Oryctolagus cuniculus: one gene and its partner. The protein of the gene in region 1 interacts with the protein of each later gene in a pairwise test. Links are inferred from orthologs where the notes say so. Each region holds a gene or a part of one and is shown in the gene's direction. Other genes may lie near its edges.

Evidence for each region.
Region 2: the proteins of ZBTB9 (region 1) and LASP1 interact in binary tests that used the Homo sapiens proteins (3 or more experiments, as listed by UniProt). The two-hybrid records come from large-scale screens. The link is inferred for Oryctolagus cuniculus from reciprocal best matches to the Homo sapiens genes ZBTB9 and LASP1.

What each region holds. Positions count from the first base shown.
Region 1 is NC_091436.1:135,694,845-135,700,637, reverse strand, and holds ZBTB9 (zinc finger and BTB domain-containing protein 9), read left to right. Parts: upstream 1-2,368; 5' UTR 2,369-2,654; intron 2,655-2,838; 5' UTR 2,839-2,910; coding exon 2,911-4,338; 3' UTR 4,339-5,637; downstream 5,638-5,793. UniProt on the Homo sapiens protein: May be involved in transcriptional regulation.
Region 2 is NC_091448.1:23,293,297-23,298,649, reverse strand, and holds part of LASP1 (LIM and SH3 domain protein 1), read left to right. Parts: intron 1-538; coding exon 539-646; intron 647-5,353. UniProt on the Homo sapiens protein: Plays an important role in the regulation of dynamic actin-based, cytoskeletal activities.

The sequences.
Region 1 (5,793 bases):
ACCCCACCCCGTAACAGCACCAACCACCAGGACTGGACGGCACCGAGGGACAGCAGGATTGCCTCCCTGAATGGCTCCTTGGGGGCCTGGATCCCCCACCCCCACCGCACCATTTCCAGGAGGGAGAGCGCCCTCTTTTCCTTCCTGTCGGGGTGCTGCCCCCTTTGACCCCCCCAGGGACCCTCGCCCCAGGACACATGCCTACCCTACACAGACCCCTTCACTTCGGGGTGCTATCCCCATCCTCTGCCTCATCGTTCCCCTGAGCACTGGGGGACAGACCCTCACCCCCACCCTGGGGGTGTGGCACCTCCAAACTTTCAACTTCAGGGTGATTTTTTAGCAGTAACCAGAGCTGACAATCTAACTCCCCTCCACCGCCCCATTTTGGCCTCCCCTGCCCCCCTTGTTATGGGGAGGGGACCCCGGGTGAGGGGGCCCTATTACCCCTTGATTTCTCAGGAGCGTCTGGGGGGGCTCAGCACGCACAAACTCCTTCTCCTCCCACCACTCTTAAATTTACTCCCTCCCCACCCAGAACCCGATGGGTGGAGGGGGCCACCGGGGCAGGGAGGGGGCGGCAAGGGGGGAACGGGAGTTGTCTCCCTTTCTTCCCACACCTGATCTGCTCTCGGCTGGTCCCAGAGCGGGGTGAGGGGGCTTATGCCCCCCCCTGCCCCAGTGTGTTGGGTGGGGTGGAATTGAGGTTAGGGTGAGGGGGTAGGGTTTAGGAGGGTGCGTATGTTGGAAGGACAGACCTGTTGATCTGCCCTACACTGACATATGCAGCCCCTCCCCCCAACCCCTCCCCTCTCTCTTGGTCTCTACTCCCAGGGGGAGGGGGGAACTTACTCTAGGAAAAGCCATGTCTCTCTCCCCCAGGGTGGGGGGACCTGTGTTGGAGGAGGGGTATTGGGGGGCTCCCCTTCCATGACTTTGTCCCCTGGGGGAGGTAGGACAGGGCTGGGCTTCCCTCTCATCCTCCCCCCCCCCCAATCTCCCTCCACCTCTCTCCCTCCCGCCAGCTCCACAATTTTTCGGTGTTTCTCTGTACATAGCTCTCTGGCGGGATAGGGGAGGTAGGATGGATGGGGTTTGGGGTGGGTAGGCCATGGGAGGGAAGAAGCCCCTCCTTGGTACCCCCTCCTCCCTGACTGCTGTCCCCTACCCAGCCTTGTCCCCTCATCCCTTCTTGCGTTTGGTATTGAGACTTTTCCCAGACTCCTCCCCTCTTTCTTTTGTATGGACAGTTCCCCTTCAGTCCCATCCCCCTACACACATACACCCAGCCGGGGCCAAATTTATACTTATATAAAAGTTGTAAATATGTGAAATTTTATCCCTGTGCCCTTCCCTCTGCTTTCCCCACCTCAGCCTTCCCCTCTCCTGCCCCCTTCCTCCTCTCCTCTTTGGCTGTTGTAATTATCTGGGGTTTGTACTGTACATATCCGGGGTGTGTGTGTGTGGGCTGGGGGCAACCCCCCTGTACAGAGCTTCCTGGCCCCCTCCCCCCCGCCACCTTAAGGGTAGGGAGATGCTCTTCCTACCCGTTTTATTTTGTTTTCTCGTTCTCCCTCCCCAACCCACTCCCAGCCTTCTCTATCCCCCACCGCTGCCCATTTTTCTCCACTCCCAGCCCCATTTCCTTTTTTTCTGGAGTGTGTGGTGAAACAGAAAAATCATGTTTAATAAACGGAGATTGTTCTTTTATCGCTGTGCCAACTTTCTCAGCCTGGGGGTGACAGGACTTTTAATTTTCTGAGAGGGAGCGGACAGCCTGGAAGGGAAGCCGACATCCCTGCCCGATGCCGGTCTCCGCACAGAAGCGCTGCCCCGCGCGGAGACGCAGTCTGGGGGTTCGTACGGCCCAGACTTCCCCAGTCCAGCCGACTGGCACCCACCGCTTGCTTCACTTACCCCCAGGAGCAAAGAGGACGGGATATAAGAGAACCCAGAAACGAAGCTGGCTTTGTTTAATTGGTGAAGGGCACGATTCCGTGCGGACTGCAGGGGAGCACTCGGCGCCTCAGCTAATCTGAGTTCCAGACCCAGCACTGCCGTTTCCCCGGCCCGGACGGCGAGGACGGCAACGCCTTGCTCGCCGGGCCGGGGGCACACAAGGTGCCACTTCACCTCGTCCCCCAGCACCTCGGCGCTGCGGGCGGCTGGCGGCCCGCCCTCTCCGGGCTGCGGTCTCCCGAGCCACGGCTTCCCCTTCGCAGCTCCCCGAGACGCCCCCACCCGCTCGCGCCCTGGCGCCGCCGGCCCGCCCCTTCTCGCCCGGGCAACCAATCAACACAGGGCTTGTAGGGCGCCCCATTCCGATTGGCTGCAGTTGTGCCCCCCCCCCCCCGCCTCTCCCGGCGTCGGCGTCCGGCGGGGAGGGGTGGCTTCCGGCCCGAGACGGCGCCGTAGCTGCAGAGAGGCTGCGAGGGCCTCGCCGCGTGTGTGACGGCGGGGGCGTGTCGGCTGGGGTCCGGGGCTCGTGATATCCCCGTGGCTGCGGCTACCCGGGAGCTGGCCACTGCGGGCACAGTGAGTGAAGCGAAGCGGGACGGAACGCCGGGCCGGGAGTCGACCCGGAGCTGGTGAGGTTAGGCTGGTAGCCGAAGGACCTCCTCATCTTCCACAAGGCCTGGAAGCTAAAACCAGGGGTTCGTGTTTTGTTTGTTTTTGTCTTCTTGGTGGGCGGGACTGGTATACAGACACAGCCACTGGCCGGAAGAGTTTCTACTTGTAGGTGGGAGGGGGGCATTTGTTTGCGGAGATACAGTTCCCGTTTTCTGGGGCTTGTGTGACATCCCCCCACCCCCGCACCCCATCTCTTTTGCTCCACAGCCTTCCTCTCACGTGGGTTCCACCCCAGACTCCGTCTCCTCTTGCCGACCCTCTGGGATCTCCGAGGAGGCCATGGAGACCTCGACGCCTTTGCCTGCCGCGCCCCCCTCCGCAGTGTGCAGCTCAGCACCGCGGACAATCCAGATCGAGTTCCCTCAGCACAGCTCAGCGCTGCTGGAGTCCCTGAACCGCCACAGACTGGAGGGAAAGTTCTGCGATGTGTCCCTGCTGGTGCAGGGCCGGGAACTTAGGGCCCACAAAGCGGTGCTGGCTGCCGCCTCTCCCTACTTCCACGACAAGCTGCTTCTGGGCGATGCGCCACGGCTCACCCTCCCGAGCGTCATCGAAGCCGATGCCTTCGAGGGGCTGCTGCAGCTCATTTATTCAGGGCACCTCCGCCTGCCACTGGATGCTCTCCCCGCCCACCTCCTTGTGGCCAGCGGCCTTCAGATGTGGCAAGTGGTAGACCAGTGCTCGGAGATCCTTAAGGAGCTGGAGACTTCAGGTGGTGGGATCTCAGCCCGAGGAGCCTCCTCCTACCATGCACTTCTTTCCACCACATCCTCTCCAGGAGGCTGGTGCATTCGCTCTTCCCCTTTCCAGGCCCCAGCACAGCCCTCCGCTCCTGCCGAGAGACCTGCATCTACTGAGAGCCCCATCGGAGGGGAGGGGAGTGAACTGGGAGAGGTGTTACAGATTCAGGTGGAGGAGGAGGAGGAAGAGGAGGAGGAGGAAGACGACGAGGAGGGCCAGGGGTCAGCAACCCTCTCGCAGACGCCCCAGCCTCAGAGGGTATCAGGGAGTCTGCCCCGTCCTCACGGATCCCTCGCCTTGCCCGTACCTGCTACTCCCCGCAGGCTGCCAGAGGGCGAAAATGCACCACTTGAGGTTCCTGCCGCTCCTGCTGCAGTGCCCCCTAAAATCTTCTACATTAAGCAGGAACCCTTTGAGTCTAAGGAGGAGTTGTCAGGAGGTGGAACCCAGTCTGGAGGAATAAAGGAGGAGACCAAAGCATTTCCTGGAGGGGACCCGGAGGGGAGTGGGGAGCTGGGGTTCTTGTTGCCCTCAGGCGTAGGGGCAGCATCTGGGGGAGGCGGTCCATCCTGGAAACCAGTGGATCTTCATGGCAATGAAATTCTGTCCAGCGGTGGAGGGCCCGGGGGAGCTGGGCAGGCTGTGCACGGTCCCGTGAAGCTAGGCGGGGCACCCCCTGCGGATGGAAAACGCTTTGGTTGCTTGTGTGGGAAGCGCTTTGCAGTGAAGCCAAAGCGTGACCGCCACATCATGCTGACCTTCAGCCTTCGCCCTTTTGGCTGTGGTATCTGCAATAAGCGCTTCAAACTGAAGCACCATCTGACAGAGCACATGAAGACCCATGCCGGAGCCCTGCATGCTTGTCCCCACTGTGGCCGTCGGTTCCGGGTCCACGCCTGTTTCCTTCGTCACCGAGACCTGTGTAAGGGCCAGGGTTGGGCCACTGCCCACTGGACTTACAAGTGACAGCTGAGGCCATCCACCAACTTGTAGGAGAAGGTAGCCATTGCTGCTGATGGATTCGTGCCCTTTACTACCCCAGACCTGGATCTCATAATCATGCCCAGTGGATAAATATGTTACGGATCTCTTGTCCTTGGGTGTAGGCCTCAGTCTGCCAGATTTGGAAACTCAGATTTCTCATCTCACCTCAGGTTTTTGCTAACCACCCTACAGGAAATAGTTTGTAGACCATTCTTAAACTGTTCACTTGCCCATAGTAGACTTTTTTATAGTGGTAGTATCCATGGAGGAAACCAGGTTTCAGATTGGAAGGTTATTTGGTGAGGGAACAATGAACAGCAAAAAGACGTACATAGTGGTCAGTGTTTTGTTCGGTCTCCATGAGGAGTTAAAGAGCTGGTCTCCAGTCAGGGATATGTTTCATTCAGAGGTCTAGTAATTGAGACTCAGCTCTAAACTGTGCTCTCCCTCATCATGGCTGGAATGATGTGAGCAGAGTTCTTATGTACGCTTTGTTCCCTCAGATTGTACCTAGCTTTCTCACCAGTAGGCACCTTTCCAACACTTTTTTTTTAACGTTGTAGTGAGCACTTTAAGCCGAGCATTCCACATGTCATTCCTAGAACCCTCTTTGATGGAGGGTATTCCCTCAACAATTAGTGCCTCTTGTCTACCTTTGACCACAACTAATAACTCGTATTTTGATCACAGTGACTGGAATGTGATCATTGAACTCAGGAGATGGCAGCTGACCTAACATGCTCTCAGGGTAGCACCACTGCTCTCTGAACAAGTTGCCATGGTCGGAGGAGCTCAGGGCCGAGACAGCGCATGCTGAACACTAGAGAGGAACTGCACAGTGGGACCATACGCCGCCTGCTTCTGCATCCCACCCACGTGTGACAGAGACAGCTCCTCTGTGGAGAGGTATAGGGGTAGATAGCGGAATTAGGGGCAGGGGAATCTACAGTTTCCTAATTGCCTAATTTCTTCTAATAAACTCTGCCCTGAAATCTAAACTGACAGTGGGCTAGATTGAATAATTTGTGTGAGAACAGAGCTAGACTTGGATGCATTTTTGTACTAGCTTTTCTTGATGAGAGAAGAGTTGGATGATTTCACACTGGTGGAGAGAACATTGCTCTGGATTTAGGCCTTGACCTTCCTCTGAGTAACTGCAAGCAGCCTAGTTTACTTTTCAGAACTGTTACCATTTGTTATGCTGGGGTGGGTGATGTGCACTTCCTAACTGGTTCTCTGTATTTTATTAAAGGGGTTGGTTCACGTGATCTTTACCTATAATATTCCCTGACTTCCTGTGTTACGTATATTCGGGTGTTGCTTTGCTTATTCTACAAACATCTAGTGCAAAACACTGTATCAGACCCTGGTTAATACTCTGCCCTGGAAAACTTCACAGCTACTACCAAAGTGACAAACAATTACAATGTGGTATGA
Region 2 (5,353 bases), on another chromosome or scaffold:
TTCCAGGCCTGGGAGCTGGGGTGAAGGGTCAGGGGTCAGGCAGACAAGGGTCAGGGGTCAGGCGGACAAGGGTTTTCATCCTGTCCTGAGCCCTGTGACATGGGCAGGGGCTTTGCCCCGGTGGCTCAGTTTCTTTGTAAAGTGGAATGAACGGTGCGTGCTCACCTACAGCCGCACACAGACAGGCGGGTATTTTAAGAAAAGTTGGTGGAAAGTGGAATTAATGATGTTTGTTTTGGCACAAAATTGTTTTTGAAATCCATGTGTAGTGTTTTCCTGATACCCAATTCTGGGAACTTTCCAAAGACCCTGCATAAATGCGCGCCTGCCACCCAGAATGTTAGTGGCTTGTCACTGTCACTGTCATTTTTATTCTAACGCTTTTCGGCTGAGGCTCCGCTCCGCCTTGGAGCGGGGGATTCCGACCAGGCTCTTTCTCCTGGTCCCTGTCCCTGTCTGCGCCGGCTGCTGCCTCCGAGGGAGCCACAGGCTGGGCCACCTGATTCCTGTGCCTCTTCCCTCCCTCCCCGCCTGCCAGGTGCGCTACAAGGAGGAGTTTGAGAAGAACAAGGGCAGAGGCTTCAGCGTGGTGGCAGACACCCCCGAGCTCCAGAGAATCAAGAAGACCCAGGACCAGATCAGTAACGTAAGCCCCTGGCCCCCTGCCGCCCTTCCTCCTTGCCCCGTCCTGGGCAGGCCTGGCTGGCGGTTGCCTGAGCAGAGGGGAGGGCTTGGGGTTCCCAGGTGTCTTTCTGTGGGTACCTGGGGTTTTCTGGGCCAGCCTCTGCCCATGTGGTGTTTCCCCCATACTTTTGGGGGAGGGGCCCCTACTTTGGGGGGAGGGCACTGTGTACTACGTCACACCCCCCCCCCCGCTTTCTGAAGTGGTTCTGCTTTTCTTCCTGGTGCCGTGGGTGTAAGGCTGGGGGCGGGGTGGCTGCCTCTGGGTGCTGGCTTAGCTGCCATTTCCGCCCTCCCTCGCCTCCTCCCCCACTTCAGCGTGCGCTTCCTTCCTGTGTGAAAACCCCAACTGGGTTTGCCTACTGGCCCCCCACCTCCTGGGCCTGGGATGGCCTGGGACGGTCTGGCTGCTCTGGTTGGGGTGGACACAGGGAGAGGGCGGTAGATCGCTGGGCCCCAGCATCGAGCTCCCTCCCGGGCACCTGTGGCCAGAAAACTAAGCCTCGGTTTCCTGCTTGGCAGAGCCACAGCCCCGCAGCCTGTGTGGCTGTTTGAGGGGAATCTTATTTTGGATGTCGGGGTGGGGGCGGGGTACTACTGCGAGCCACAACTCGGAACACAGGCAAGAGCCTGTGTGGGGTCCTGGGGCACACGCCTATGGCGTGCACCGCAAGCCTGGGCAGGGCCGCCGTGGGCAGGCAGTTGTCTCCGCGTCCACAAGGGAGGACGCTCAGCTGTCCAGTGTCACTCTGGGTGCAAGGACTGGGACAGAGGCTGGCGAGGGCCTGGCTTTCAGGTCGCCCACCTGCTGGGCCCTTCTCCACCACCACCCCTGCCCTGTCCCCCCCCTCCCCCAACCCCGCCTCCGTAGCAGGGTGCTGCTTCTACAGCTTGGCCGAGCCGCCCCGGGAGTGGGCTGTGTGTTTCAGACGCACAGGGCGGCCTGCAGAAACAGTCATGCCCAAGACCGTGGCTTTCAAACTTCGACCTCAGTCTATAATAGGCAATACATGTTCCATCGTGACTCACCAAAAAGGCGCTCATTTATTTTGAGAATCACTTTCATGGCTGAGTACTTCCTACTTGAGCGCTTCTCTGGGTCTGTGAGGATGCTGGGTGCCCACTCACTACCAAGTCGAGTGCAGGTACTCAGCAGAGCTGCCCGGTACCTGGGAGCAGGGAGGTGCTGATGCTCTTTGCCCCAGGCCCTCCCCAGGGTCCCCGAGTGCCTGAGTCCCAGTCTCAGGCTGGCCAGTGAGGAGGGGGCAGATGGCCTTGGCTCCAGGGCTGGAATCCTGGCTCTTGGGCCCCTGGCTTTTCATTGTGAAGGCCTGCTCCCTGTCTGCAACCCCCAGCCCGCTGCACGCTCACCCATTGCTGTAGCCTCTGGGTTTAGGAGAGGGGAGGCCAGCAAGCCCAGGGATCCCTGCCTCCCTTTACGGAAGGCTTCCAGAATATTCCGTCCCAGCCTATTCCACCTGCTCCCCCTCCCCAGTCACTGGAGATGGTAATGACTGAGGAGTAACAAAAACTCCCTGTGGCCCAGAACCTAGGGAGATAAGCATCTTATCAGCAACCAGGGCCACAATTAGCTGGTTGCCCTCTGACCTTGACCTGCTGGCTGCTCTTGCAGCTTTCACTGTGAAGGCTGGCCAAAAAACTGGTTTTAGTGAACCAAGCCAAAAGAGGGCCTCCAAACACCTGCATCACAATCCCCCCCTCAGCAATGCTCCCGACCGACTGACCGACTGGCTGGCCGGCATTTACTGAAAATGCAGACTCCCAGGCCCCCCAAGTCAGCATCTCTGGGAGGGAAGCCCGGGAACCAGCATTTTGCACATCTGGGGTTTCTGTGTTACTTAATGAAGCTTCGGAGCCTAGAAGTCCTCAGAAACTTCTCCAGCCTCTAGGACATGGGTGCTGGTCCTGGCTGTCTTTCAGGACCCCGGGGCACCTCGGGCCACACCCAGACGCATTGCTAAATTGTCGCCACCCCCCCAAAGAGTTTTGGGAAAGGTGATGCTTAGAGCCACACATTTTGTTTTGTATCTGAAGTAGTGTTTCTGTCTGTGGCTTGTGCCTTCCCAGATTAGCACCAGACGGCTTCTGGTGGCTTCTAAAGGTCAGGCCATCTGGCAGTGGGGTGAGGATTTGCTTTCCGGAAGGAATGTGCTGCAGACTGGAGTGTTTTGTGTCTTTTAAACATTTTTTTAGGGACTGGCGCCGTGGTGCAGTGGCTTAAAGCCCCAGCCTACTGCGCTGACATCACAGTTCGAGTCCTAGCTGCTCCGCTTCCGATTCAACTCCCTGCTCACGTGCCTAGGAAAGCGGTAGAAGATGGCCCAAGTCGTTGGGCCTCTGCATCCACATGGGAAGCTCCTGGCTCCTGGCTTCAGATCAGCCCAGCTCTGGCCGTTGTGACCATTTGGGGAGTGAACCAGCAGATGGAAGACCCCTCTCTCTCGCTCTGTCTGTCTCTGTCTCTGTCTCTACCTCTCTCTGTAACTCTGTCTTTCAAATAAAAAAAAGTTTAAAATTTTTTTAAAAATTTAGTTTCATCTTATTTGAAGGGCAGAGAGAGAGACAGATGGAGAACTTACATCTCTTGGTTCACTCCCCAAATACAACAGCCAATGCTGTGCTAGGCCAAGGCCAGGAGCCTAGAACTTAATCCATGTCTTCCACAGAGTGACAGGGGCCCAAGTACTCGGTCCGTCATCACCTGCTGCCCCCCAGGTGCACTGACAGGAAGCCAGATCAGAGGCACAGTAGCCAGGACTCGGACTGGCACTGGCACAGGATGCAGGCATCCAGGTGGTGGTCTAACCCACTCTGCCACAACGCCCGTTTGCAGCACACTTGTACACTAAGCACCTCCGTTTACTTACAAAGCAGCTCAAGAAATAGAACGTTACCATGTCCCTGGCAAATCATTCTCGGAGTGCTGGAAGCAGCTCTCATTGAGCAAGCCCCTAGTGCATACTTACTATCTTATGTAGTTTATCTATATGTATATTGTGTGTATATGTATACATAGTACACATGTATGCATACTGTGTAATTTAATCATGAGGGAGTCAGCTGGGGGAAAATGAGAAGCAGAGAGGTCAAAGTTAAAAAGTGCCAGCTACCATTAGCTACAAAGTTGGTTAATGCCCTGCAGTATGATAAAACCATAAACTCTAAAGCTATCTTTGCTACAGACAGAAATTGTTTCCATGTCAGTCAAAAATAATCAGCGCTTTCTATTCTGTAAGTGAACTGTAGTCTTCTGAGTCTGAGCATAATCGGTGGTAAACAGTTTTATCCCGTGGTCAGCTGGTCCGGAAGTAGAATTGCTGGATCTCAGAGGGTGCGGCTCTTCTGCTTTGTGGGAGAGGGGGAGGGGGAGGAGGAGGGGGAGGGGGAGGGGAAGCTCCTGTCTGCTGGTTCACTGCCCGAATCCTGCAGTGGCTGGGCTGGAATCCTGTCACTGAGCCCTCACCACCGCCTTCCAGGGTCTGCATGGTGGGAAGCTGGCGGCGGGAGCCGAGGTGGGTACTAGACCCAGGCCCTTCACGGGCAGGCATTCTCATTGCTAGGCCAACACCCAGCTCCGACGTGTTCATTTTAGCCATTAAAAAAAAAAAAAAAGATTGATTAATTGATTTGAAAGGCAGAGCAACAGAGAGAGTGAGCGAGCGAGCCTGCCTCTGTCTGCTGATTCATTCCCCCACATGCCCACAATGGCCTGGACTGAGCCAGGCTGAAGCCAGGAGCCAGGAACTCCTCTGTAGATCTCTCATGTGGGTGGCAGAGGCCCAAGGACTCTCGGACTTGGGCTGTCATCTACAGTTTTCCTAGGCACGTTCGCAGGACGCTCGATCAGAAGCGAAGCAGCCGGGACTCCAGCCAGTACCCTGTTGTGGGATATCGGTGTCGCAAGCAGCGGCTTAACCTCCTGTGCCACATGCTATTCTGCATACTGGTGTTTCTTTATGGTTTTACTTAGGTCTTTCTCTGTTACTGATGAAGTTTTCAGTGTTATCAGAGAGAGAGAGAGAGAGAGAGAGAGCCTGGCTGCTAAATTGATTGTTGCATTCAGAGCCTGCCTTCCCTGGCTGGCCGTGACATGGAACCACGTGGGAAGTCACGTGTGCAGCCAGACTTCTGTTTTCCCTTTACAGTCAGGAAGCAGGGCTTCCAGAAAACGGAACATCAGAGACACCAGGCAGTGGAGCTTTGGAGTGGACCCTACCCTGTCATGCTAGGACTTGGGCCAGCTGAGGTGGTGGGGGCAGGGTTGGGGGGATCCTGACATCAGGGCTCCCGAGCCTGCACACACTTGGCCCCAGTGGGCACATCTAGAGTGTGGCCTTGCTCCGTAGAGGCCCAGGGCCGTGCACAGGCTGAGCTGCCACCTATACGTCCCAGCTGTGGCCACCCCCACTGGGAGCTCCTGGGAGATCAGAACAATACTGAGCCTGGAGCAGGGCTGAGCCAGGCTCTTGGAGTTTAGAGCAGCTTTCTTTGCCTCTTGGGTGTGCTAACACCCCCTCACGTGCCTATTTGCTTAGCAAACCATTAAGTCAGCCAGAAAAAGCCAGGACACCACTTCCTCATTCTTTTGGGAGAGAGCCAGGACAGTAAGTTGAGGGCATGGAAATTTTGTCCAGGTGAGGTGGCAGGAGGG